Ovis aries: one gene and its partners. The protein of the gene in region 1 interacts with the protein of each later gene in a pairwise test. Links are inferred from orthologs where the notes say so. Each region holds a gene or a part of one and is shown in the gene's direction. Other genes may lie near its edges. The genes, in order: AGTRAP, LNX1, RMDN2, MYG1, ACSF2, MIEF2 and UBE2I.

Region 1 (4,079 bases):
GGTTTATAGGAGACATCTCTTAGAAGGAAACAATAATGTTATAATATCCACTAGTTACTGAGGAATTCCTCTTTTCTAGGTACTATGCCAGTAACAATAATTTATGATAATTAACTAATAATGAATATCAAAACAGTAGCAAGTCCTGATCAAGGGCTGTCTGCCAGGCAATGTTCTAAACATTTTTACATATTAACAAATCCTTATTAACAAATTCAAAATAACCATCCTTCAAGGAAGATACTATTATTTCTCTCATTTTACGGATCAGAAAACTGAAGCACAGAGAGGCAAAGTGACTTGCTCAAGTAGAACCAGTAAGTGGACAAAGTTAGGACTCAAACTCTTTTCTCTGGTCCAGCTAGTCCTCTGGGCTCTGAATCCCAACAATCGTGCCCAGTGTAGCTATCTGTCCGGTCTCTGAAGCTTACCAGCTCTCTGTTACTCTGGCAGATGTGCTATTCTGCTCAGGGGGCTGGACAGCTGTGTCTCCAAAAGGGACATTCAAATAGGCCAGCGGACTCCGCGACCTTGCAGAAGACCCCACTGCTGCTGCTGCTAAGGCGCCTCAGTCGTGTCCGACTCTCTGCAACCCCATAGACGGCAGCCCGCCAGGCTCCCCCGTCCCTGCGATTCTCCAGGCAAGAACACTGCAGTGGGTTGCCATTTCCTTCTCCAATGCATAAAAGTGAAAAGTGAAAGTGAAGTCGCTCAGTCGTGTCAGACTCCACACCCACCTGGAAAACTCCGCTCTTTGTATCTAGAGTCTGTATCTTGATAGGATCTTAGGACCCACCCAGCCAGTCTTTCAGGTTTCCACGTGGTCTCTCCCCTCCTGGAAATAAGAATAAGCACTCAGCGGGACAGACCCAAGGGGATCCCAACAGTCTTGAATAAGTCTTCCTTACCTTTAAAGTAAGTGTCAGTATTTTTTCTTCAAACATGAATTAGTTCATTCATCCTCAGAAGGATTCTATGAGGTAGGTAACCGTCTTCACTTTCACTGGGGAAGGAGGGAGGAGAGACTGTGCCCTCAGGGATGAGACACCAGCTGTTACCACATCTGCAGATTGTACTTGGAGGTTCCCCCAAGTTCTCCTGGCTGCAGGTGGTCCCGTCAGCCCACCTGCTGGGATTTTAACTCGGCGAGATATTGCGCCCTTTGCGACACAAATCTGGATATTCTCCAGCCGCCCGCCACCCCGCCCCCGCCCCCGCCCCCGGCCCCGCCCCCGCCCCGGCCCCGGCCCGCCCCCGCCCCCGTCCCCGGCCCCGCCCCGTAACTACCTGGGCAGTGGCGCAGTGAAGGCTCAAGCAGCACGACGCCGTCTCCTAGATACCGGGCCGTCGTCACATGACCTACTCACGTGACCCCCCCCCCACAGCCCAGCTGGGGTTGGAGCTCTGGCAAAGGGCAGCCGGCGGGGCGGGGCTGGGCAAGTTTGTTTCCCGAGTTCGGAGACCAGGAGCCCCCGCGGTTGTGGCGCAGGTGCTGTCCGGTTGGGTCGCGATGGAGCTGCCAGCCGTGAACCTGAAGGTGGCGATGGGCGGGGCGGGTCTCCCGGAGCGTGTTGGGTATTTGCGCTTTTAGTAGGTGATTTTAGAGGTGAGGATTTTAGAGGTAGAGGACCGAGAATCTGGGGAAAGTGGAGTGGTGGGGAGAAAGAGAACGAACAGAGCCCAGGTGTAAGGAGGTGGGCGGACAGACCATACCAGGAAGACAGATCCAGAAGGCCAGCAGGAAAGACCGAGAGGGAGCTGGAGGAGGGAAGCAGCCGTCTCTTCCCTAAGACCGGTTCAGCTGGGAGCGCTGAGCCCCTGAGGCTCGCTTTGGCCTGCGCGCCCAGAATTTCTCTGGAGAAAGAGGAGAGCGTGGTGGGGAGGGACCCAAGGAGAGCCCGAGGCTGGACTTGGAGGCAGGACACCTGCCTTCCACCGAGAGAGGGGTAAAGCTTTCACCTGGACCCCCAACACTGCCCTTACCGCCTCTCTTGTTGGGAAGATCAAGTTAAGGAAATCAAATGATCCCAGACAGATGGTTTTTCAGAGTTGATAGATTCAACGTCTTTATTTCTTAAGCAACACAGACACCAATAGAATTTACTCAAAAGCAGAATCCCCCAACTTTGCACATTTAGGAAAACACTGTAGGTCGCTGGGGTGTCTTCATTTCCTGAGCTGTAAGAATGCCAAAGGCTGTTCTTCTTTTTCTCCCCGCCCTCCTCCAGCCCAGTGTTTCTTGGCTGGGTTTGCCACTGAGAGGCTGAAGCCTTTAGCTTTGGTCAGAAAGGTTTTAGCCTTGGACCAGACCTGCCATCTGCGGCCTAGGTACAGTTTCCTTTGAGATTGTATGCAGGAGTACCCTCTTATTCACCCTTGACAAAGCATTATGCACCCATGGTGTCTGGTCCTAAAGTAAGAGATAGATGACTACAGAACAATACATCATCCATATTTGGATTATTAGACATGGTCTGTGTTGTGACTTCACGTGGGCACATTTCCTTAATATTGAACACTTGCTTCAGCAGACCTCTCCGAGGCTTCCAGTCAACTGCTGCAGGGGGAGAGATGGCTGTGACAAGGGAATGGGCTTGGATTGAAGGTTTAGCAGGGAAGAAATTTACACGAGGGCAACTGAGGTTCATTGGTATCAACATTCACTCTGTTCCAGGCTGTGTGCAGTTAATGCCGACTACCTTTTCTCTGATTAGAGACTTGCCTAAAATAATTATTAAGGGGGAAGGAGGAAAGGGACAGAGGAGCAGGAACTGACGAGGGAGTGAGCCCTAATTCTTAGGGCGTCTGTGGTGTGCCGGGTTATTTATTTAGTCGTATCAACCTTCTGAGATTTTTGTAGCTGAGCCAACTTCAGCTCAGACCAGATAGGTAACTTGTCAAGGCCCCACAGAGATTAAGTGGCAGAGTCAGAATTTGAACCCATCACGGTCAGACTTCAAAGCTCTGTCTTTTCCTGGCCACCATTAGTTAGGGCCAACTTCTGCTTTGACAGTTAGTGCCCAGTGGGAGGGCTTAGTCTGTTTGTGGCTTTTTTTTTTTTTTTTTTTGGAGAAACTTTGTGGGCCTCACAGGCCACACGTGACCACAGATGTGAGCTTTGCCGGCTTTCACTGCCCACAGTGAAATAGCTGGTCCTTTCTTTGACTTGGGAAATAAAACACCATATCTCTAAGGGTCTTAGCTGCTACCAATCAGAGACAAGTAAGTGCTGAGAGGTCGTGAACAGCTAGGGTTGCCAGGTGACATTGAGGACATCCAGTTGAGTTTGAATTTCATATCAACAATGAATAACTTTTTAATCTAAGTATGAAAAGTGAAAGTCATTCAGTCGTGTCCAACTCTTTGTGACCCCAGGGACTGTACAGTCCATGGAATTCTCCAGGCCAGAATACTGGAGTGGGTAGCCTTTCCCTTCTGCAGGGGATCTTCCCAACCTAGGGATCGAACCTAGATCTCCCACATTGCAGGAGGATTCTTTACAGCTGAGCCACCAGGGAAGCCCCAGGATACTGGAGTGGGTTATCCTATCCCTTCTCCAGTGGACCTTATATCCCAGGCAATATTTGGAACAGTCTAGAAAATTATTCATTATCTGAAATTAAAGATTAACTAGGGGTTCTGTTTTTGTTGTTGTTTTTTCTGGCCTCCCACAGGAGTCTAAGTGGGCTATTCTGAGATCAGAACCCCTTGGGAGCTCAGAAAATGCCCAACCCCCCAACCCTGCACTACCCTTGCCCTCCTTTCACACATTCCTGGGGTATTGGCTCAGTGCCTGCTTGTGCCCAGCCCACCCACAGTAGGCAGTGGTGCCAGGTGAACAGAAGCAGCTGCCCCGGGCCCTCCAGGTAGTTCCTAACCCAATGCCACACATGAGGCAAGTCCTGAGCTGAAGGAACGTCATTGTGAGAGTTTAGAAAGTTCTAGACTTGGGTTCATGAGGGCTTGTGAGAAAAGGCCCTTGGGAGGAGGGTGCAGGGGGTTAGTATAGCATGAGGGTTAAGAATTCCGGAACCTGACTGCACAATAGTCAGGGACTGCCTTGTCTCGGGGCTTCCCAG
Region 2 (3,500 bases), on another chromosome or scaffold:
AACTCGAGAAAAGTGCTGTTATATTCCATCCAGCCTAGGAAAAAATGACAAGCAGATTTTAAATAAACCGTCCATATTTCATTGTAGAAAACTGAGAACATACAGATAAGCAAATTGTATCATCCTGCTACCTCGAAGTAATCACCGTTTGCAGTCTGTTGTGTATCTTGCCAGCCGTGTCCATTAAAAAGACCTTTTTCTCTCTTGTCTTCAGCACGGCCCTTTGAGCGATCCACCATCAGAAGCAGATCCTTTAAAAAAATAAACCGAGCCTTGAGTGTTCTCCGAAGGACAAAGAGTGGAAGTACCGTTGTCAGCCAAGCTGACCAGGGACGAGAGGATTCTGAAAACACCACTGTCCTTGATGGTAAGTTGCTTCCCCATGAGGCTGGGCGTGGCCTGGGCTTCTAGAATGACGCCAGGGGTGATGACCACAGGACTAGCCCTTACTTTCTACGACACCTGTCTTCCTAAGGGCATAAATATTTTTTACCTTGATTACTCTACTTATATAAGTAACCAAAGGCAAAAATTACTTTTCCTTTTTTTTTTTTTTTTTTTTCTGGCTACATTGGGTGCTTGTTGCGGCTCACCGGCTTCTCTAGTTTGGCATGGATCTTAGTTCCTGAACCAGGGCTCAAACCCATATCCCTTGCATTGGAAGGCAGATTCCCAACAACTGGGCTATTAGGAAAGTCCCTACTGTTCTCTTTTTACATAGATTGAGGGAAAAGATTTTGGAACCCTTACCTTCAGGTCTTAGCTTAGTGTATATAAAGAATAATATAGTTAAGTGAAGAGCAGTTAGAACAGTGCCTGGCACACAGGAAATGCCATATGAGTATTCTTATCTCCACCTTGTGTGATGTGTGATTCTGAGGGTTTTCTATGTATTAATTCATGTACTCTTCAACAACTCTATGAGGGAGCTACAATTATCATCCCTGTTTTATAGATGAGGAAACTAAGGTACCAGGCAATTACTTAGTTTGCCCCTTCTGAACTTGGAATCCAAGTAATGTGGCTCTAAAATTCACGCAAATAACGTTTCTGGATCTTAGATTCTATATCTTTTTTTCACTATAAATGGAGCTGAGAAAATACTGTCCTGTCCTTTCCTTTTCATCTTACGCTAGAGCTTCACAGCAGTAATGATAATAACTGAAAGAATGCTTTTGAGCTTTCCTGGGTGCCAGGCAGTGCTCTAAGGCATTTAAAGGTCACAATGATAAGAGATGGGGACTGTGATTCCCAGTTTACAGAAGAAGAAACCAAGGTTTAGAGAGACTGGGTAACTAGCCCAAAGTCACCCAGCTGGAAAATGGCAGTCCTGGGATTTTAATTTGTGTCCTCTGGCTCCAGAGCCCACTCGTTTACTCACTGGATTAAACTGCCCTCTGCTCCTTCAAGGTTGGGGAGTGAAAGTGTTAGTTGCTCAGTCATGTCCGACTCTTTGAGACCCCATGGACTGTAGCCCCCCAGGCTCCTCTGTCCATGGAATTCTCCAGGCAAGAATACTGGAGTGGGTTGCCATTCCCTTCTCCATAGGATCTTCCCAACCCAGGGATCAAACCTGGGTCTCCTGCATTGCAGGCAGATTCTTTTCCATCTGAGCTACCAGGGAAGCCCCCTCAAGGCTGGTGGCTAAACCCCAAACCTCTGTCTTTATCATGTTCTCAGAGAACTTTGAGCAGTTGTATAAGCTCCTTCTTACCTCTCTTACCCTGTACCTGTACTACATGCTCTCAGTACTCTCACTGCTGCTGCTGCTGCTAAGTCGCTTCAGTCGTGTCCGACTCTGTGCAACCCCATAGATGGCAGCCCACCAGGCTCCCCATCCCTGGGATTCTCCAGGCAAGAACGCTGGAGTCTGCCATCGTGTAAATACTGTCTTTCTCTCACTTCCATGTTGCTGTCCAACCTGTACTCTCACTTGCCTTCAGCTGGCATCCTAATTTCTCTTTAGGCTTTGCCTCCTCCTGGGAGCCCTCCTTGACTCCCCCAGTCCTCTCTCCTTTGTGTTCTCAAAGCACCTGCATCTCTGTTATAGCAATGTCATCTTTTATTGTAACTCTACCAGTGAGGGCAGGGGTTCTTTATCTAAGTCTTTGTGTTCTCAAGGCCAAGCACAGTATCTAGTACATAATAGTTTTCACCGAATGTTTCTGCAATGACTAAAAGGATCATAACTTCCTTTCTGCCAGTCTTCCAGCTTATTCAGTTCAGTTCAGTTCAGTCGCTCAGTCGTGTCTGACCCTTTGCAACCCCATGAATCGCAGCATGCCAGGCCTCCCTGTCCATCACCAACTCCCAGAGTTCACTCAAACTCATGTCCATCGAGTAAGTGATGCCATCCAGCCATCTCATCCTCTGTCGTCCCCTTCTCCTCCTGCCCCCAATCCCTCCCAGCATCAGAGTCTTTGCCAATGAGTCAGCTCTTTGCATGAGGTGGCCAAAGTACTGGAGTTTCAGCTTTAGCATCATTCCTTCCAAAGAAATCCCAGGGCTGATCTCCTTCAGAATGGACTGGTTGGATCTCCTTGCAGTCCAAGGGACTCTCAAGAGTCTTCTCCAAACACATGAAAAGATGCTCAACATCACTCATTATTAGAGAAATGCAAATCAAAACCACAATGAGGTACCACTTCACACCAGTCAGAATGGCTGCGATCCAAAAATCTGCAAGCAATAAATGCTGGAGAGGGTGTGGAGAAAAGGGAACCCTCCTACACTGTTGGTGGGAATGCAAACTAGTACAGCCACTATGGAGAACAGTGTGGAGATTCCTTAAAAAATTGCAAATAGAACTATCTTATGACCCAGCAATCCCACTGCTGGGCATACACACCGAGGAAACCAGAATTGAAAGAGACACATGTACCCCAATGTTCATCGCAGCACTGTTTATAATAGCCAGGACATGGAAACAACCTAGATGTCCATCAGCAGATGAATGGATAAGAAAGCTGTGGTACATATACACAATGGAGTATTACTCAGCCGTAAAAAAGAATTCATTTGAATCAGTTCTGATGAGATGGATGAAACTGGAGCCGATTATACAGAGTGAAGTAAGCCAGAAAGAAAAACACCAATACAGTATACTAACACATATATATGGAATTTAGGAAGATGGCAATGACGACCCTGTATGCAAGACAGGGAAAGAGACACAGATGTGTATAACAGACTTTTGGACTCAGAGGTAGAGGGAGAGGGTGGGATGATTTGGGAGAATGACATTCTAACATGTATACTATCATGTAAGAATTGAATCGCCAGTCTATGTCTGACGCAGGATGCAGCATGCTTGGGGCTGGTGCATGGGGATGACCCAGGAAGATGTTATGGGGAGGGAGGTGGGAGGGGGGTTCATGTTTGGGAACGCATGTAAGAATTAAAGATATTAAAATTAAAAAAAAAAAAAGAGTCTTCTCCAACACCACAGTTCAAAAGCAAAAGCCTCCTTAATTATATTCCACATAAAGTTTTCTCTTGCC
Region 3 (3,500 bases), on another chromosome or scaffold:
TTTTCAGTGTTTAGTGTTGGACTGAATTGACAAAGCTCATCCTTCCCACCACCACCACCACCACCACCACCACCACCAAAGGGGAAGAAAGGATTTTGCAATATCACAAAGATCCATAAATCTTCTTTCCCATGAGAAATTTAAGGCTAACTTTTGAGGATATAGAAACTCTAAATACATGAACTCAAAAGTTTTTAAATCTCTAGCATTGTTCTTTAGGTAATTTAGGTAAAAAAAAATGTGACTGCTGTTTTGAATATATGTAATCTCTAATAACTTACAGATATTATGTGAAATGCCCATTGAGGCATCATATTGACAGTAGTTAAGTTAGAAAGGAAAGCAAGGAGAGGATACTACCACCCAGAGAGAATTCATAAATTCTAACACTTAGTTTTCTCTTCTTCATAGGTGCGGAACTGGTGTCTGCATAATATTCATTGGTTTCTAAGACCCAAATGTAACACTACACTAGATCACACTTTATAGCCATGAATATTTCAATTTAAAGTGTGATATGCACATGAATGCAGTCATTTCTAAGTACCAGTTTACCTACCTAATTTTTTTAAAAGGTTGCAGTGGTATAGTCACATTACTAAGTTTATCTAATGGGCAGTTCTGTGTGTTCAGTTTAGAGATGAAATAGAGTTTATTTGGCGGTTTGCTCGTGCTTATGGAGACATGTATGAGCTATCTACAAATACACAAGAAAAGAAGCATTATGCTAATATTGGTAAGTATTTTGTGAATATTAATTATTCTCAGGTAGTAATCATTATAGTAAACACAAATGAATTTTTAGATAAAAGTATATGGTCTTTAAAAATATTTGAGTATATTAAAATAGGCAACTGAAAAACTCAAATTCCAGCTTTCAAAATTTATAAAATCGTAGAAAGATGATACATTAAGTGGTTATAATTTGAAAAGCAATAATAATAGTAGTCTTTCACCAAAATTAAAATAACCCTTCTTACTTCCTATAACATAGAACTCCAGGTATCACAAAGAAATAACTACTCAGACTTTAATGTTTTTTCAAAATTCATCTCAGTAAAACAAGATAAGCCTTGAGTTGACAATTGTTTAAGCAGAGTGATGAGTCCATGATTGTTCATTATATCATCCTGTTTTCTAAAGTAACAACAAAAGAATAACAGCCAGAATGCTAAATGATCTGACAAGATCAGTACAGAGAAAGGCAATTGTAATTCAGTGCACAGGTAATAAGTGCCTGGCAGAGAAGCAGGAAATTGGAGACTGGAGTTGAAGGGCATGGGCACTCAGTATGAAGGAGGAAGAGTTTGCCGACTCTTGCTCCTCCTGACAGTATATTTGAACTTGTTATGTGGAGGGAAGATTGGATCCCTGGAGAGTATAAAATTCTTTCCTAACCTGCTAACTGTGGTGTCCCATTTTTGCAGTACATCTGTTGAAGTCCTATGACTGATCACACTTGTCTTGCAAATCAAATATGAATCATATCTAAAAGAACATATTTGTAACTTTCAAGATTAGATGATGGACACAAATAGACCACAAAATAAAAATTTTTTTACGGGAAATAGGTTTCTTTTCAGGCTGAAGCGGCATCAGTGAGGGTACAAAACCAGTATGTATACTACCTGGCTCCCTTTTATATTCTCAGAGCGATGGAATTGCCTCTATTTTAGGCAGTGCCCTCAAAGCTATTTTTGTTCACTTGGTAATGTAGGTAAGATGTTGATGTAGTTTTAATGTTTATACATTAAAAATATTTATGTTTTTCAAGCACTCATTATCAAATTATTAACTCTTCTAATATATGCCCACAATGTAATATCAGTTGTCATTTTAAGAGACTGCTTTTTAATTTTTTTCCAATTTGTGTAGATTTCTACACTGCGTGGTTCTCTTAATGGAGAGAGCTATAGAATACCACCTTAACAAACAGGAGAATGATTTTAGAATAAAAGATCTTTATTTATAAAGATTATCTAAACTACTTATTTAGAAGAGCATTTTTCAAATCATTGGATCACAACATTGCTCTTCAAGCAAAAGAAAAAGAGCAGAGAAAAGGAGAGTGTATGAAATAAAACAGCAGCTTTTTGAGAAAGATTTTGAGAATGTGGTTTAGACAAACCTCTATCCAGAAATTAACAGATTATTAAAAGTTATTCTAAAATGAAGTTAAATTATTTAGGGGAATTATTTATGCACTGAGTGTGTTCACTATCATGAATGGTTAGATAAGAGCTTCTCTGGGACACCTTCCCTTACTCCTTTAGATAGAGTTGCTCTCTCCATTCTCTGCTATGCTCTTTTTAACCTTTATCTTTATACATAATTTCTTTGTTTATATACCTGCTGCCTACTGAACAATGAATTCTTAGAGGTCAAGAATTGTGTTTTATTTGACTTTTTATTCCCAGGGGCTCACACAATGACATTTAGAAAGTACTCAGTAAATGTTGGTTGAGTTAATTATAAAGCAGTATCTATTAATAATGATCGAATGACTTTTGCATTTGGTTAAATCACTTAGTCCAATGAGTCTACACTTGAATTTGTATCAGAAATAAAGGCCATTAACCCGCTAAAGGCCAGTTAATGCAGATAGCTGTCTCAGAGGTTATGATCGAGTAAGTCTTCTATGTGGCCCCAAATTTGCTTTTATAACAAGATTCTAGGTAATGACTTCTGGTATTAGGACCATACTTTTGGGAACTACTGGCTTAATTCAATAATTTACCTCCTACCAACTCACATGAAGGTACCAAACTGTAAGTACATTTATCTTTCAGGAAAGACATTAGGTGAAAAAGCTATTATGAGAGCACCCAAGAATGGATATTGTCATCTATGGTAAGTACATAAAATTTATGCAATAATTGTTCTGTTTATTCTCATGTATTTTTCAGTATGTATATTTTAAATGTTTTTAAGATAAACTTTCATTGAATATTTCATAACTGAATCTACCAAGTCCAATAACTTTGAATATGATAAATTCGAATTAAATTATATTTGTATAAGATTTTGTTTGGAAACAAATGCTAAAATGATGCCATGTTTCTAAATGTAGGGAGAATGCTTCAAAGAATAAAAGCACATCAGCCATTATACCTTGATGACAAGGTATACACACTCCATAAGTGAAAGAAAAGCCATTTCTAATATAAGAAAACTCAAACAAAGGAAATTTAATTAGTTGGATGGTTGTAGGTGGGTATCCTTGGGACAAGAAATTTATTCTTGAGAGTATTGTTTTGTTTTGGATCCTTTGTATATTTAGAATTATAAAACACAAGAATAAATGTATTGTTTTTAATGAATATTTCATTTTACTCACAGTTGCATTTTTGCAACATTTCTCAGTTCCTTAATTATTTTTTTTCCCCAGCAATATAGATATGTTAGGTGCTAGTAATAAATTTATCTATGACCCTTCTCTCAGACCTAGGTTTTCAGAAATCCACACCTCTTTGGGATTATTTTATTATTCAGAGATGCTT
Region 4 (4,058 bases), on another chromosome or scaffold:
CAAACATCTTTTCCACATTATTAATTTCTGGGTATATGTGACTCATTTGAAACTGTATTTTGTTCGTTTTTATATCCCAGTGGTTCTCATATTATTCTCATATGAGCTTCCCTGGTGGTTCAGACAGTAAAGAATCCACCTGCAATACGGGAGACCTGGGTTGGGAAGAGCCTTTGAGGAAGGAAATGGCAACCCACTCCAATATTCTTGCCTAGAGAATCCCCATGGACAGAGGAGCCGCTCTGTCCATGGGGTCTCCAAGAGTCAGACATGACTGAGTGACTTTCACATCTCATATTATTGACAATTTAGATTCTAAATTGGTGTTGTGTTTGCCCTCTACAGTGAATCTCTGTGTTGAAAGTTAAATAACTGTAGTAGTCTACCTGTCAATTTTCCTTAACTCTGAGCTCTCCCCTTTAGCTCCTGCCCAGGGTCTGACTCTTCTTTTATTCCACAGCTGTCATGGAGATGATGAGCCAGAAGATTCAGCAGCTCACAACCCTGGGAGCAGCTCAGGCTACCGCTAAGGCCTGAGAGCTTGTTTCAGAAATGGGGCAGAGGGTGCCTGCTTCCGGGGCCTGGGACTTTGTGGATGTGGTTTCCCGGATTGGGGAAAGAAGAGGGTCTGTGTTTAATGCTAATAAATGAGCCAACTGGGCAGAGTGGTGGTCTTTTCTTGCATTAGGCAAGGGACTAGTGAGGAGGTGGGAGGGCGGTGTTAAGAGGGTGTGCCCCTGCCCAGAACCTGATAAGCAGGAGTGATGCAGTGCTCATCTTGGGGGTTTCACTTGGGAATCTGTGAGGAACTAGAGTCAAAATTCAATGCTGGTGATACAGGATGCCCAGGGCTGGTGCACTTCGATGACCCAGAGGGATGGTATGGGGAGGGGGATTCAGGATGGGGAACACGTGTACACCCGTGGCAGATTCATGTTGATGTATGGCAAAACCAATACAATATTGTAGAGTAATTAGCCTCCAATTAAATTAAAAATAAGTGAACTGTGGTATAGAAATTTGAGAAGATGGGAAATGCCATCAAAATGCCATACTTCAAGGTATGATCTCTCAGCATTGTTTTTAATGCAACTTTGGGCACCAGGTAGCAAAGCAGTGGTCCAGCCCTGGGTAAAATAAAAGCAATAATAATTTTTAAAAATTCAATGCTGGGTGGCAGGCCCTCTGCGCGGCCCGTTGCCATAGGAACAGCTGGCAACCGGAAGTGGGCTTGCGCAGGCGCTTCCCCTTCCGGGTCGGCGCTCTTACTAACTCCTCGTGGAGGAAGCTGCATGGGCCGCCGCTTCCTGCGCGGTTTCCTCCCTCTGCTGTTGCCGCCGCCACCGCTCCGGAGCCCGCATCTCAAGCTCAGCCTGGAGCCTGTCCCACCTTCCAAACGACCCCGCAGCCACCTCATGGCCCCGCCCCGAATCGGGACGCACAACGGCACCTTCCACTGCGATGAGGCGCTGGCGTGCGCGTTGCTGCGCCTCCTGCCGGAGTACCGGGTAGGTACAGGCCGCGCGAACTGACCCGGGGGATGCCGCCAAATCTCCGGGGTGGACCGCGTCCTCCTAGAGGTGTCCCGCCCGAGCACCCTTCTCCCCTCCTCTGCTCCTTGGAAGCCCGACATTAATCCCCTACCCGTGCGACCCTGGCAACCCCCTCACCTCCTGTGTCTCCTGCAGGATGCAGAGATCGTGCGGACCCGAGACCCCGAGAAACTGGCTGCTTGTGACATCGTGGTAGACGTGGGTGGCGAGTACGACCCTCAGAGACACCGATATGACCATCACCAGAGGTGAGGACTCACTACCATTCCTTTAATTTTCTCAGTGCCCCAGGCCACTGCCGTGGTTCTTGTCAGCGAAGGGAACCGCCTCATGTTGAATCCCATGGGACTGCTGTCTCCCATGCTTCCAGTGCTCCACCTACTCTGCACCCATCTAGGTGGCTTTGTGCTTCGCTGAGCCCTCGCGTCTGCCGTGGCGTCCCTTGGTCACCCCGGGGGCCCTTCCCGATTCACTTCCTTCTTTGGCTCCGCCAGGCTTTTCTCCCAGCAGCCTTATCTTTACCTCACTGAATACCCCAGCAGAGATTAATCCATTCCTGTGCCCTTGCTGCCCTACCTCAGGCTGCTGGGCCCACGTGATTGTGGCAGGTGGTGAGTGTGTGCTGTCTTCTACGTCATTGACACTCTACCCCTGGGAGATCGTTCTGGCCGAGAGGCCAGAATCCCCAGTACCTCTCCAATCCTTTTCCCTCGCCTCAAGCCCCTACCTCATCAAACTTTCTCAGTGAGTGATCCTGTCTCTCTTCTTTCAAAAGAAATTGAGCTTTTCCTGCGGGTACTTCCTCAGTTTCTCCCTCCTGAATCAACTCCCTCTTTCCAATTCAGGAAACCGTTCTGTTTGCCCCTTTTCCAGTGTATCACTTCCTGCTCTGGGACTCTATATCAGCGTTTCTACTTCTTATCTGAAGAAAGAAACTCTGTTTACGCATCTCCTGTCTTGAAAACAAAGGACTGAAAAAAACCCATAACCCCCTCCCGCACATACACCTCGCTGTTTAAAATGGTTATCTCTGGGGTATCATGAGGGTATTTGAAGTCTGTTTCTCTCTTTCTCTCTCTCCTTCCCTCCCTGTCTTTCTCTTCTTTAAGTATACATATTACTTTTCATAGTGATGTGGAGAGGGAATGCTCCCAGTGTATACAACCTAATCTCACCCTCACTTCTCAGGCATTCTTCAAAAGAAGAGCTGACCCTGGCTCCACATTTCTTTCAGTTCATTGCTTCTATCCATCCTATCATTCATTCAGCCGGGTCTTTTCCAATCTCTCTACCGGAAATGCTGGTGGAAAGGGCACCAGTGACCTCAATGCCAGACTCAGGTTGCTGGTTGAGGGTTAACTGACTGACCTGTCACCTTAACCCTCTCACCTTAACTGCCTTCTTTGTGGCACTTGATGTAATTGACTGCGTCCTTTTTCTGGTAATTTTATATACTTAAAAAAAATTTGTGCCATTTTTGACATGTAAAACAATATATTTAATATTTCTGGAATATAAAATGAACACCCAAGAACTGATCTCCCAGCTGAAGAAATAGACCATTATCTTAGCACCTGTACCTGTGTGCCTCTTCCCCATCCCAACCCCACCTCCCCAAGAGTAAGCAACATCCTGAGTTTTGTGTTCATCATGTCCTTGCTTGCTCTTGTGTACAGTTTAGCACTTATGTCTTATCTGTTTGCATCAACTATTTATTTAGTTTTGCTTCTTCCTGAATCTTTTCTGGGACATTATTTTTATTAGTCTTTATACCTTATGAGTATTTTATAGGTACTTTTGTGTTTACTTAATAAATATTTAATAATAAAAGTCATTAGAACGAAAAAATGAGCTTCCTTGGTGATACCACTGGACTGGTATTTAGAAATTAGAGCTGTGGTTTCTACTGTTCTAACAACTATCATACCATTTCCGTGCCCTCTGTCCCAAGGCTGTTCAAGTCCCTGCCTTCCTCACTCACCCGGCACATTGCAGGTGATCTTGGATTTCTTCTCCATGCTGGCTGGCACAACGCACTTTCTGACACGCTCCGGCCTGCTTAAAGTCTCTCAGTGGCTCCTCCTTACCTACAGATAAACTTCAAACTCTGAAGTGTAGCATTCAAGGCCTGCCCTGGTCCAACTCCTGCTTTATCTTTTGCCTCTCATTCCTCATCCCAAGCTGCTTTCTTGCAGATCCATGGATACCTCTCTCTTAGGCATTATACATGTTGTTCCCGCTACTTGGAATGCCTTTTCTCCTTCCCCCTTTATGTGTCTGGCACACACCCACTAATTCATCTTCCAAGAATGACCTGAAGGTTCTTCTCCTAAGTGCTTTCCTCTCCTGAGCCCTTGTTTATAACCAGCTGGAGCATTCCTTTGGTTGCTCATGTGAGTGTGCGTGGGGGCTGTGTGTGGCCATGTGTCCCTGTCCGTGTGCCTTAGGAAGATAAACTTGAAGGCAGGGACAGAGTCTTAGTTTTTTTCATCTCTGATGTTTACA
Region 5 (3,500 bases), on another chromosome or scaffold:
TCCACATCTCCTCATACCCACCCCACCCTGCGGTGGTCAGGACCCTTTGTGGGGGGTGGTTCTCTCAGGGGGGTGGCCAGAGTGGCGCCAAGGTGTACTTGGCAGAAGCCACCCCTGGGCAGTGGCCCCAGGACTGTAAGGGTGGGTGAGAGGGCTGGGTCCCGACAGCTCAGGCTTCACGACCCCAGGTCCTGCGGGCTGGCCTACCCCGGCCAACTGGGTCTCTGTGTGTCTCCTTGAGCCACGATGGAAACAGGAGGGTGGGCAGGAAGAGTCACAGCTCTGGCCCCAAGGCAAGCTCTGGGCTGACTGGTAGGAGTTCTTGTCTGTGTTGGGGGGTGAGAGGAGGAACCAGACCCCAAGTCTTGCCAGACCCCAGCTATGCGTGATTCATGCCCGCTAACACAGAGGAAATTGAGGGTAGGGTAGGGCTGCGGGACGAACAGAGGTCTGGTGTATTTGCTGGCTGGAAGGAACCTAACCAGCCCCTCTCCCTTCATCCAGCACTCAGGTGCGGAAGCCTGCCGTCTCCTAAGCCCCTTTCAGCCGTTGCCTCTGGATGGGGGTCATACTTGGGCCAGAACACTGTCTTGTGGTATTCCTCCAAGGCTGACTGCTGGTTTTCTGTTGCTCAGGATGTTCCAACCACTAGAAGGGGGGCTAGGGTGTGTGCCACTGGCTTTGTAAACCCTTGCGTTGGCTGTATTTTTATTTTGAGCAAAACAAATTTACAGGAAACTTTCCAGAATTTGAAGGGGGGGGGCACCCTACCCCAAGACCAGGCATTTATCCTGGGTTTCGAGTGGATGGGGCAGGGTAGGGGTAGGTGGCTGGTATCTGTGTAGCTCCCATCTGGGCCAAGGCGGGCTGGCTTTCTCATCAAATTTATGGATTCTTCAGCTTGGAAAGAAGGGGCAGGGGATGCTATAGCCTGAAATCAGGAAGGGGGTGTTAAGACAGCCTGAGGATGGGGTGGGGAAGCTGAGATGTTGGTAACTGGGAGCCACAGGCTAAACCATGTGGTTGCTGCAAGCAACCGGGAAGAGTGAGAGCCTGGCTGGAAGAGAATGGCTTCCCTGGTCTCAATTTTATTTCAGACCTGGGCCCCCTGCTAGCTGAGCTAGTCTGATTCTATATCCAGTGCCTTTGCCTCCTGACCCCTGACCTCTGCCAAATATGCCTCTTTTCCCACTGTTCAACTGCTTCCATCCCCCACAACCCACTCCCCACCCCAGGTCCTTCCCTCAAAGTAACTTCCCCATCCTTCTGCTCCCCAGGCTCTGTTCCAAACACCCTTTCTGGCTCCTCTAGGTGGCTTATGGAACCACAGAGAACAGCCCCGTGACCTTCATGAACTTCACCGAGGACACTGTGGAGCAGAAGGCAGAAAGTGTGGGCAGAGTCATGCCTCACACAGAGGTGGGCCCCAGACACCCCCCCTCCCACCACTCACCTGGGTGCGGCCCCTGGGACATTTATTGCTTTCAAATAAGAGATCCAAACAGCTCACTCCAGACACTGAGAGCCCCCAGCCACGAGGTCTTCCTGGGCCTGGCCTGGGGCTTTCTCTGTGGGCTGAGGCCTGAACTGGGAAGAGCTGGAACAGTGGCCAGCTGCCAGCTGAACTTCTCTGCAGCCTCCCTTCCTGTCTGAGGTGTGTTTTTGCCAAGCCCACTGTCTGTTTTGGGGCAGCCAGAACAGCCTCATAGAGGAGCCAGAGCACAGAGATTTTTCCTACACAGCTCTTTCTCTCCCATAGCCTTCTCCCCCCCACCTCCAACCTCATTTCAGCAGATTTCCTCTTTGTGCTTGGCATAAACAGTTTCCCAAATAGCTTCTCCCTCTGGGAGTCCCTTGCATCTTGAAGACTGACCCAGAGCACCTTTCACTCTCAAATTCCCAGCCTACAGTGCTGGTGCTTATGCCAGCATTCCTTGTTTCCCCTCCCGCCTTGGACCTTGCCCCTCTGGGATTACTGCCAGTGTGCTTCCCCTCGGGCCAACCTCTCTCCTCCCTAAAGTGAGTGTGCACTGACACCAGTCCCTCCCATGTGTCACTCACTGAGAGGCCCGCCTGTGAGGCAGACAGGCTGGGTGCGGTTCTCCCCATTTCACAGATGCAGACACGAGGCACAGGCGCTAAGCTTTCCTTGCCCAACAGTTATGGCTCATTTCTCAACCAGGCTTTCAGATTCTGCCTGTCTGCCGCCTCTCCTGTTCACGTGGCCCTGCTCTGCCACCCTCTTTGGCTTCTTTATTTACTGCTTAGTGGGAAGTAAGAGGAGACTCCCTTCCTTCTGCACAGTTTATAATTCTTTAGCTGGCCTGGCCCCCCTTCTGGCCTCCTTCTCTGAGCAGCTCCCACCCACTCTGTTTCCTCAGCACCTCCTGACTTGGGCCTCAGCTGTTCTTTCATGTCCAGCTCAGGTACCCAACTGGTGAAAGATCTACTCAGCCTGCGTCTCCATTCCTTGGGGATGGGCAGAGCCAGGGGGCTTCATTATAGGGGGAAAGAAGGCAAAGCTCTCCCCATTCCTGAGGCCCCTCATCCTGAAGTGAGAGGGTGGGAGGCCCCAGCCTGAAGCTGCCTGGTCCCAGGCCCAGATTGTGAACATGGAGACGGGGACGCTGACAGAGCTGCACACACCTGGAGAGCTGTGCATCCGAGGGTACTGCGTCATGCTGGGCTACTGGGGTGAGCCCCGGAAGACCGAGGAAGCAATTGGACAGGACAAGTGGTACCGGACGGGGTGAGAAGGCAGGGCAGGGTGGAGCGGTTGGCTGCCAAGGGGAAGCTGGGGGTCCTGAGGCTGAGTTGGGAACACTGAACTAGAACTGGGAGAACCAGTTGTCAAGATAGCCCCTTCACATCTCGGAGACTTAGTTTCAAAAATGTATAAAATGAGGATGATCATATTCTCCAAATAGGGCTCCTGGAAGGACCAAACACAGTACAGATGAGAACTCCTAGGGTAGTGCCTGCAAAATCTGAGCCTAGATTCAGGCAGTCATTTAATTCAACAAATTCTAATTATGCACCCGCCATGTGCTAGTACTGTTCTAAACACTGGTGGTCCAGGGGAAAGCAAAGGGGAGGATCCTGCTATTACTTCCCACATGTCTGATGGAGGGAGACAGATACAGTCAAGATCATTTCCTACATTCATAAACACAACTAATAAGACAGGATCACAGGAGAGAGAGTGGCTGTGGTGGAGAAGGGAGATTCTTTTCTCTTTGGTGATCAGAGGAGGCTTCTCTCAGGTGGAAATGTTTGGGCTGAAACCTGAATGGTAAGAAGCCAGCCCCAAAAGGTGTATGCATAGATATGTCTAGAGAGAGAGCAAGAGAGAGAGAAATATGCTATAGGTATGGGTTTACTTAGTTTGGTCTGCCTTCTATGTGAGATAGTTCCTCCCGTATGATCCAGGTAATGTCTTGTTTGTGACATATGTCCCAGAGTCTAGAGTCGCGTAAGACATACAGTAGGTGTTTCCTAAG
Region 6 (4,263 bases), on another chromosome or scaffold:
CACACACCTAGTCTTCTTGCATACCTCCCAGGACAGGGTGCTCATCCTCTCTCCACCAGTTCTGCTTGTGACAGGCAATGTCCTGCACAGGCTCTGTCCACCTGGCTAGCCCCATCCACCTGGACCCTCCCCTTCCTGTCCAAAGCTTCTTACCAGCTTCTGCAGGGAGGCCAACTCCTCTGGCAGGTAGCAAAGGCCGGTGCGGTTTAGCTTCAGCCATCGCAGGCTGGTCATGGCCTTGACGTTCTCAGGGAAGTAGCCACCCTGCGGGTACGTCACAGTGAGGCTGGTCTGGGACATGGTACCCTTGCTCTGCCACCTTGTGGCCCCCACTGTCTGTGGGAGCCTTTGGGGGCAATAGTCATTTCTAGTTGTGTGTGTGACCCCAGACACATCACTTGGCCACTCTGTCTCAGTTTTCTCACCCGTAGAATAGGGCTGATGAAAGCCCCCTGATGACAAAAGCGTCCTGAGAACCCACTGGTGATTAGGATGGCTGCTGACCTAAGCCCCGCCTCTCCTGCTGGCTTCTTGGCCCAGGAAGGCTTATTCTAGATGCCACCCCAGAGTCAGCTGTGAGGTCGGATCAACTCAATGTTTTTGCCTTGCATCCAGGCCCTGCCTGTGCAATTTGTTGAACTGCACTTTGTGCCTCTGCCAAGGCCCCACCTGTGCCCTGCCACCCACCCCCTGCATGAGGCCCCAGCTCCCCACCCTTTCCCACACAGGCATAGCTTATTCATTAGTTCACTCACCCATTCGTCCCCCAGACTCAAATGCCCACCTCAGGACCCCAGCCCCGTGGCCAGAAACCTGGGGAGGTTAATGCCTTCAGTGCTCTGGGCTAGTGCCCCTTCTCCCTACGGCCACATTCCCTGCTGGTGACTCACTCTCCTAGACTGAAGAGGACACTTGGGGACTCCAGGTGAGGACGGTGGGGATGGAGGCAGAGGAGTGTGCACGGTGGCAAGTGTGGGTAAATACAGGAAGAAAGGGCCTGTCTCCTCTGCCCTGACCCCAGCCACTGCCTGGACCACTGGACCCTGCAGACCCAGGCTGATGCTCCACTGACGCCAGCCAGGGTCAGCCCACTCATCCACCCTGAGGACCCTCCTGGAACCAGGCCATCTCTCAGGGCCTCCTCTCTGGTCACCAGCCCTCCGGCCTCACTCTCAGTTCTCAAGAACCACTGTCCCGCCCCGAGGCTGGGCTGGTGTTCCCAGCCGCCCTGGTCCGCCAGTTCGGAAGCTGCTCAGACAAATGGCACCCAGGGCCTCGCCCACCTGCCCAACACGTCCTCCACAACTAATCCCCGCCTCCAGGGGTTTCAAGGTAAGCCTCTCCACCAGACGAGAAGACGAGGCTCCGAGAGGGGAAGTGACTTGCCTAAGACCACACAGGATGGGGGTGGCGGGTGCGGGTAGCGCAGAGCCGGCGGCGTAACCATGAGTCAGGGCCCGGCTTGGGCTGTGACCTCACAGGGGCGGGGAGGGCTGGGGAGGCGCGAGCTCGAGCTCCGACCGGGACCCCCGGCCGGCCTGCTGGGGCCAGGCGCCAGGACCCAGCCGGTGAGCAGACCCCGCGCGCCCCTGCGCAGCTCCGGGACCCTACGCGCGCCCGCCCGCCCCGCCCGGCCTGGGCTGTCTTCGCGGGCGCCGGGCGGAGGCCTGGGACGTTGGGCCGGGGCGGGGTCCGGGCAAGCCCGTCCGCGGTCCCGGGCGCGCAGGAAGCGGAGGGGCGGGCTGGGGGTCCCGGCCGTCGCCCAGAGGCTCACCTTGAAGTCGTTGCCGCTGAGGTCCACGCCGCGCACGAACGGCAGCACCCCGGTGCCCTCCATGGCGGCGCTGGGCTGAGGGGAGAGGACCGCGGGCGGGGCCCGGCGCTCGGGGCGGGGACCGCGGAGCCGGCGGGGCGGGGAGCGCGTCGGCCCCGCCTCTCAGCCCGGGGCCGCTCGGGGCCAGCCCTGGGGCGCGGGGCCTCGAGGAGCGCTGTGTCCCGGTGCCCTAAAGGGCCTTCTCGGCCCCCGGCTGTTCCTGAGCTGGTCAACGCCGGGGACCTGGGTGGTTCGGGCGGCAGTGGCAGTAGGACGCCCGGGTCCTCGTCCGGAGCCACGAGCCTCCGGGAGACGCTCCGGGGCCAGTGCCCACACTCTTATGCGTCCTGGGTCGGAGGCCAGCCCGGGTGCGCGGTTACGTGCCCGCTTGCCCCTCGAGGGAGGCCTCCCTGGGCCGGCACATAGCGGTCCCAGTAAGTGACAGGACCAGTATACCCTTCACGGGAGAGGCGGCCGCAGACTACAGTGACCAGGAGCCCCACCGGATGCTTCCTTTGCCAGGAAGGAGCTCACGTTCCCACCTGCCGAGTCCTGGAGCGTGGCCCTGCGCCTTTAAGGCGGAGCTTGCCGAGGAGCCACGCCCCGAGGGGCGCTCGGCCGCCATTGGCCGAGGCCGCCTCAGGGCGGCACGTGGGCACTGGCCTTGAGCGCTCTGATTGGAGTCGGGGCCTGTCCGTCTGCGAGCCTGGGGCCCGTGCCCGCCCCAGGCCTTGGCGTTCGACTCCCGGGTCCTGCACGTTCCATTCCCAGGCGGCCCCGGGGCGCGGCCCGAGCGGCCCCCTGAGTCCCCTGGCTGGGGCGCCGAAGCCGCGACGCAGGTACGGCCGGGGCACGGGGCGTGGCCTCTATCGGCCGCGCGGTTCCGGCCGGGAGAGAACCGGCTCGAGCCGAGTTCTGGTCGCTTCTTGGGCCCATCCTGGCGTTCCCCGGGCCTCGGTGTCCTCGCGGCCGGGGCTTGGAGGAGGCTAGGGGAGGCGTGGCCTTTCCCTCTCCCCTTCCCTGGTTAGGGTCTGCGGGCCCCAGGTCAGACAGGCAGGGGCTTTGAGCGCTTTACAGTTTGGAGGCGGTTGGCAGTCCTGATGAAGGAAGCCGCCGCCGGGCCATGCTGGGTCAACCCCCTCCGCTGTCTTTCCTATTTTTAGCTTGGGAAAGGGGGATGGGTGCGGGGCTGCAGGCCCCACTTGGCAACCGGGCTCCGGCACCCGGTTCTGGGAGCAGGGCAGCCAGAAGTCATTGGGGCTGAGTTGGCTCTGAGCTCAGCGTCATCTGTTCAGGCATCCTCAGGGTGACAGTTCTGCCTGGCCATCTGACTGGTCCCTTGGGCTTGTCCCTTGGTCACACACCCCCCTCAGTGCTCAGGGCCTGAGAGCTGGGGCTCAGCCTGCAGGGCCTGGCAAAGATGCCTGAGGTCCCAGCCATCTGTACTTCTGGGTTCTGCATGTCTAATGGTTTCTCGTGGCACCTGCTCCATCTTACAGACAAGCTAAGAGTATCTGGCACACTCAGGCCCTCAGCTCACCTGCTGTGGCCTGGGCTCTCAGCAGCTGAGACCCCTCCCCACCCACTGTTGTCCCGAGTCTTAGAGGCCCTTGTCCAGGGCACTGGACCAGCCCTGTTGTGGTTTTTAGAGTCCCCTTACACCCTGTCCCCACAGTGGAGCCTTCAGCCTTGTCTGACACATACCTGTTGACAGCCAGCGCTTGCCCCCAGGGCATCCTGGGGCATCTCACTTGTCCTGTTCTCTGACTTGGTGGCCCTGCCTCTGGGGGCTGCCCTGCTGAGATTTGGGGGTAACTGTGGCCCCCTGAACTTCGCTGAGGTTCCCTCAAAGGCCTGAGGCTGTCCAGTGCAGGCTGCCTGGGTCCCCAAGCCATGGTCTTCTCTGGGCCTTGTTTTTCTCCTGCAGGGCCTGGTTAGGAACCAGGATAAGGCTGCTTCTGGGACCTGGTCATAGGGTGGGTCTGAGTCCCCACCACTCATTGTGTGGTCCGCAACCTATTTCTTTGTAAATGGGGATGGTGCTGATAAGACCCACCTCATGGTCTTTAGTGACATTAGGGGGCCTGGAAGGTGGGATCAGGGAGATTGTCTCCCTTCTCTGACCTCGCCATGGGTCTTAGGGTCTTTCTCTGTGAGCCCCTTGTCATACAGGTGGGTTGTTTGTAGGTTTTGGTTGGGGGAGGTCTCTGGGCCAGCTCCCAGTCTCCTCCCAAGAAAACCTGCAGGTGGCCCCTTTCTCATCGGAAATTCTCTGGAAGCCCCCTTGTGACCCCAACTCTGACCATAGAGCACCTGCTGGATGCCAGGCCGGCCCCTCACTGAGTGGCCCCTGCACCCTGGCTCCCTTACAGGCAGACTGACCATGGCGGAGTTCTCCCAGAATAGGAGCAAGCGGCGTGACGGCGAGGTGCTGGGAGGCGCTGTAGACT
Region 7 (4,164 bases), on another chromosome or scaffold:
AGAGAGACCTGGAATGCTCACCTGCTGCTCAGGGGGTCTGGGCCCTTACCCGGGACCCCAGGCACTATAACCAGGCCCTCTGGGCCACAGCTGACCCAGAGGCACCCTAGGCAGACTACCTCCCCAGCCCAGCGGAGCTACCAGCCTCAGGAGACGCCCCCACCTCAACCCCACGCCCAGCCCGGGGCCTTCTCAGGGCTAGTGACCATCCTCACTGTAACAGACGGGCTGGGAGCGCTGAACACCTGCTGAGAGCTCTGGCCCAGACGTGGGCCTTGGGACACTAGCCTTGCGGGGGCGGGGGGGGGGGGGGCGGTGCTGGGCGGTCTGCCCTGGAGGCCAATAGTCTCAGTACAGTGCCAAATAGGGGGCTGCCGGGGGTGAGGGTGGGGAGGATGGAAGGAAACGGAGGAAGGAGGAGACCCAGGGCGAAGGGGTGAATGAATGCAAGCTGGGGGCCGGGGTGGGGGGGCGGTCACCTCCCGCCACTTGACCCCAAAGAGCCCACGGGCGGAGGGGCTGACCTTGGAACGCTCCCTCTTTCCCACTCTGGGCCAGGGGACGGGGGTCGGGGGCCGCTAGACGGAGAGGCGCCCAGCGTGGCCGGGAAGGACAAGCGTTCGCGCGTGGGTTCGGGGCGGACCTGAGACCCCGGCCACAGGGGCCTAGCCCTGCCCCTGCTCCTCCCCCACCCGCCCGGACCACCCGGCGCCCCTCCCCCCAGGCCAGCCCCTGGGTTAGGGAGCGTCTGCACTTCTCCTCCCGTCGGTCGGGCCCGCACTTGGTCTTGTGTACGGGGCCTGCTCATTGGGCACATTAGACGGATGCCCCGCCCAGGGCCCCGAGTTGGCCAATCGCAAGGGGTTTCACAGCATGCCGTAGGCGAGAGATTGTCACCGTGCTGCGACGCTTGGGGGATCCCTAGGCCTCAGTGGTCGTTGCTCCTCCGCCCCGGGCCCTAGCCTCGAGGAGACCTCCGGGACCGCTGCCTGGGGAGGTGCCCGCGGGGCATCCGGAGAGCCCGGGGAGATCTCGGCCGCCCTGCTTCCCCGCCGCTACCCGGCCGGTCCTCGCGAGGAACAGTGCCCCGCGAAGGGGAGTTTGCAGACGCTCCCTCACACCCGGGACGCGGCCCCTTTAAGGACGCAGGTGTCCATGGCGCCGCCTGACTGGAAAGCCGCCTCCGGGCCGGGCTCCCGAGCGGGGCCCGGGGCGCGGGCGCGCGGCGGCGGGACACGGGCAGCGGGCGGCGCTCGGCGGCGCGGGCGGCGCGGGGCTGGCGGTGGCGGCGGCGGGGTGCGAGCCAGGCGCGCGGCGGGCAGGCCCCGCAGGCCCCGCCCCGCCCCGCCCGCGCCGGGGTCCTCGAGCGCTCGGGCTGCGCGCGGAGCGGGCTCGGGAGGGAAGTCCCGAGACAAAGGGAGCGCAGCCGCCGCCGCCGCCGCCTAGTACGCCTCGCTCGCCGGGCCGGGCCGCCCGAGGTGAGCGCCGCGGGGCGGGCGCCGGGCCGCGGGGGCCCAAAACTCCGCTGCCGGCGGGTCCGGCCGGGCAGGCGCCCTCCGCGCGCGGCCCGGCCCGTTCCCGGGGACCGGCCCGCCCCGGGCTGCTGACGCCGCGGCGGGGGCCAGCCCGCCGGGCTCCCTTCGGGTAGCCCGGCCCCCGGCCCGCCGCGGCCTCGGCCCGCGAGGTGGGGGCGTCTTCTCCGGGCGCGCGCTCGGGGCGAGTCGCGTCCGGGGCGGCCGACGGCGCGCTCGGCTCGGGCCGCGCTGACAGGAGCGCCAAGCCCTCCGCTCAGGCGGAGCGTTTCCGGGGTCACGGTCTGCGCGCGAACCTGTGGCGCGTTCCAGCCTGGTAGAGGACGCGCTGCACAAAGAGTGCAAAGCCGCGCGCTGCAGGAGCGCCGGCGCGTTTGGGGGTGGCGTGTGATGCCTGGAAACGAAAACAAGCCAGAGCTCTTGCGCCTCCGAGCTCCGCTCGCCGTTGCGGGGGACCCACCGAGTGTTCGCTCTTCCCTTGACGGGGAGATCTCGTCCCAAGACCGCTTTATACCAATTGCACGGCGGCTGGAGCTGATAGTTTTCGCGAGTAAGAGGAAGGCGAGGGAATGATTAGCTGGGCTGATGGTAACGGCCAGCAGCTGTCCTTGAATCACAGAAGTAACTGGTTTGGTTTGTACGATTTGAAAACAAGCTCCGTTGGCAGTTTCTCCCCGGTTTGCGGAGTTGGCTTTCGTTGGTCTGCTCTTAAGCCCGTGGTCCTCTGTGTTTCTTGCTCCCAAGGAAACTGCCTTTGGACGGAGAACCTGCCCAGCAGCAGGGGGAGAAGGAGCCCACGTTTGTGCTGACTTGATTTTGGGTGGGTTGGGGGTGAATTCTGCATCGTGCTGCACGTGAGTCTCGCTGGGGGTTTGGGCTTGCTTTGGAAACAGCTGGGCGTCCTGGGAGGCGTGTCAGGAAAGACCAGGGAAGTGCCCCTGGGCTGGAGGATCTCCTGAGCGCAGGTGAAGCCAGTGCCTTCCTTCTCCTGGCGAGCTTACGTTTGGGTGGGAAAGCCCACCAAGGGCCGCGAGCCTCTATCGGTTTCATCCTGGGCCGACCTCTGGGCTCACAGTGCTATCGCCCGTTTTACCGGTGAGAAGGTTGAAGGGGAAGAGGGAAGCCGTTGGCCCTCACCTGCAGCCGGTAAGTGGCTTCAGAGATTGATCTGAGAAGCGTGGGTTCAAGCACAGCCCACGCTGGAGAAGGGTGGCTGCAGACTTCAAGGGTCTGCCCCAGACCCGGATCCTGTGCTTCAGGCTGTCTCTAGCAGGTCATAGATACCCGATCTTTGCCTCTTAGTGATTTTGCTGCCCTGAAGACTGCGCACACTTAACAGCTCCTTAAGTGCCTCCCTGTCAGTTGGGAAAAGCTGATTGGATTCTAAGTGGGATGCTGAAGGAGTGGTTCCGTGTTGTAATTAAAATGTAGCAAATTGGCTGCTTTCTCCTGGGCAGCGAGGCCAGCCTCTCTCTGGGCGGGGGCAGGTGTGCGCCTGTGACTCCGCCATGGCTGCAGCATCTGTCTTTCAGGTGCCCAGTTTGGTTCTCACCCCCAAGGACGGGGTTGCAGCAGCTCTTGTGGGACACCCCTCCCATTACTTTCTGCACCTGAGACAGTCACAGCTGGCGCCCCAACAGGGTCTGCTGAGGCGGCTTTGTTCCTTGTCAGTAGAAGAGGTGGCCTGTGGCGGGGTCCTGGCATGCGGTCAGCAGGCATGCGGCACTGAGGATCACCCCACCGGCCTTTTCTACATCCTGGCCTAGCCATGCCGCTCCAGAGCCCTCGAGTGCCAGCTTGCCCATTCCAGAACCCATGTGCTGCCCAGGCTCCAGGAACCAGTCTTGAAGCCTTGCTGAGCGCAGACTCAGCAGGAACTTCACAGTGCACGGAGAGCCAGGCTGCTTGTCTCTGCCACTGAGCTCCCGTGTGGGACAGTTTAGAGGTGGTCCTGGCCCGTGAGGGGCTCCTGTAGGATTTCCGCACATCCCTAAGCCCCCACCAGGGGAGGGAGAGGCGTTCCCATCTGCCCTGGTGATGAGGCGGGGGCAAGTTCTGTTTAGAAGGGTGATGTGAAGTGAAGGGTTTTCAGGCTTCAGGATTACTGCCCTCATGTTCCCATGGACTTGAAAGCTGCTTGGCACTCCCCTCTGCTCTGCCAGCTCCCCACCTGAGGGAAGTGACCCCAGCATCTCCCACTCTGTCCTGTTTGTGGACAGTCTGGTGCTGCAGGCAGTGCCCAGGTGGCCAGCAACCACCACTAGGACCCAGGGGCACCAGCACGCCCACGTCAGCCTTCGGGCAGCCGCACTTGTGGTCTTCAACTTATATCACATGAATGAATGAAAATACCAGATGGGTGTGCACGTGTAGGGAAGGAGACCCCAGACAGGGTCCTGTCCATCAGGTCCACAGATGAGGAGGAGGTGAGCGGGCCAGGACTGGAGGTTCGGGGGTGGCAAAGAGAAATTCTCTTTGGGGTGTGGGCCTTCTTGCTTGGGACTTGATCTTGAGGTTGGGCAGGGTTAGAGCCTTTGAAGAGTGTCCTCAGTGGTCAGAGCCGGGCAGCAGCTCCTGTCACCAGGCCTCCTGCGTGGGAGCTAGAGTTTCACGCTCGCTTTCCCTTGTGTTG

What was found.
Region 2: the proteins of AGTRAP (region 1) and LNX1 interact in binary tests that used the Homo sapiens proteins (3 or more experiments, as listed by UniProt). The two-hybrid records come from large-scale screens. The link is inferred for Ovis aries from reciprocal best matches to the Homo sapiens genes AGTRAP and LNX1.
Region 3: the proteins of AGTRAP (region 1) and RMDN2 interact in binary tests that used the Homo sapiens proteins (3 or more experiments, as listed by UniProt). The two-hybrid records come from large-scale screens. The link is inferred for Ovis aries from reciprocal best matches to the Homo sapiens genes AGTRAP and RMDN2.
Region 4: the proteins of AGTRAP (region 1) and MYG1 interact in binary tests that used the Homo sapiens proteins (3 or more experiments, as listed by UniProt). The two-hybrid records come from large-scale screens. The link is inferred for Ovis aries from reciprocal best matches to the Homo sapiens genes AGTRAP and MYG1.
Region 5: the proteins of AGTRAP (region 1) and ACSF2 interact in binary tests that used the Homo sapiens proteins (3 or more experiments, as listed by UniProt). The two-hybrid records come from large-scale screens. The link is inferred for Ovis aries from reciprocal best matches to the Homo sapiens genes AGTRAP and ACSF2.
Region 6: the proteins of AGTRAP (region 1) and MIEF2 interact in binary tests that used the Homo sapiens proteins (3 or more experiments, as listed by UniProt). The two-hybrid records come from large-scale screens. The link is inferred for Ovis aries from reciprocal best matches to the Homo sapiens genes AGTRAP and MIEF2.
Region 7: the proteins of AGTRAP (region 1) and UBE2I interact in a two-hybrid assay, tested with the Homo sapiens proteins (2 studies listed by BioGRID and IntAct). The two-hybrid records come from large-scale screens. The link is inferred for Ovis aries from reciprocal best matches to the Homo sapiens genes AGTRAP and UBE2I.

Annotation. Positions count from the first base shown.
Region 1 is NC_056065.1:41,204,312-41,208,390, reverse strand, and holds the start of AGTRAP (type-1 angiotensin II receptor-associated protein), read left to right. Parts: upstream 1-1,279; 5' UTR 1,280-1,354; coding exon 1,355-1,489; exon of another isoform or gene 1,490-1,510; coding exon of another isoform or gene 1,511-1,537; intron 1,538-4,079. UniProt on the Homo sapiens protein: Appears to be a negative regulator of type-1 angiotensin II receptor-mediated signaling by regulating receptor internalization as well as mechanism of receptor desensitization such as phosphorylation.
Region 2 is NC_056059.1:69,720,114-69,723,613, reverse strand, and holds part of LNX1 (E3 ubiquitin-protein ligase LNX), read left to right. Parts: exon of another isoform or gene 1-34; intron 35-131; exon of another isoform or gene 132-214; coding exon 215-367; intron 368-3,500.
Region 3 is NC_056056.1:86,123,972-86,127,471, reverse strand, and holds part of RMDN2 (regulator of microtubule dynamics protein 2), read left to right. Parts: intron 1-633; coding exon 634-736; intron 737-2,789; coding exon 2,790-2,850; intron 2,851-3,500.
Region 4 is NC_056056.1:133,200,041-133,204,098, reverse strand, and holds the start of MYG1 (MYG1 exonuclease), read left to right. Parts: upstream 1-1,258; 5' UTR 1,259-1,292; coding exon 1,293-1,508; intron 1,509-1,688; coding exon 1,689-1,801; intron 1,802-4,058. Other genes in the region: PFDN5 (prefoldin subunit 5), read left to right, coding at 461-537. UniProt on the Homo sapiens protein: 3'-5' RNA exonuclease which cleaves in situ on specific transcripts in both nucleus and mitochondrion. Involved in regulating spatially segregated organellar RNA processing, acts as a coordinator of nucleo-mitochondrial crosstalk.
Region 5 is NC_056064.1:35,974,818-35,978,317, reverse strand, and holds part of ACSF2 (medium-chain acyl-CoA ligase ACSF2, mitochondrial), read left to right. Parts: intron 1-1,311; coding exon 1,312-1,419; intron 1,420-2,597; coding exon 2,598-2,749; intron 2,750-3,500. UniProt on the Homo sapiens protein: Acyl-CoA synthases catalyze the initial reaction in fatty acid metabolism, by forming a thioester with CoA. Has some preference toward medium-chain substrates. Plays a role in adipocyte differentiation.
Region 6 is NC_056064.1:34,132,896-34,137,158, reverse strand, and holds the start of MIEF2 (mitochondrial dynamics protein MID49), read left to right. Parts: upstream 1-1,463; 5' UTR 1,464-1,568; intron 1,569-1,774; coding exon of another isoform or gene 1,775-1,837; exon of another isoform or gene 1,838-1,865; intron 1,866-2,576; exon of another isoform or gene 2,577-2,652; intron 2,653-4,185; 5' UTR 4,186-4,196; coding exon 4,197-4,263. Other genes in the region: FLII (protein flightless-1 homolog), read right to left, coding at 154-264, 1,775-1,837. UniProt on the Homo sapiens protein: Mitochondrial outer membrane protein involved in the regulation of mitochondrial organization.
Region 7 is NC_056077.1:1,565,832-1,569,995, forward strand, and holds the start of UBE2I (SUMO-conjugating enzyme UBC9), read left to right. Parts: upstream 1-1,364; 5' UTR 1,365-1,478; intron 1,479-1,842; exon of another isoform or gene 1,843-2,082; intron 2,083-2,305; exon of another isoform or gene 2,306-2,386; intron 2,387-4,164. UniProt on the Homo sapiens protein: Accepts the ubiquitin-like proteins SUMO1, SUMO2, SUMO3, SUMO4 and SUMO1P1/SUMO5 from the UBLE1A-UBLE1B E1 complex and catalyzes their covalent attachment to other proteins with the help of an E3 ligase such as RANBP2, CBX4 and ZNF451.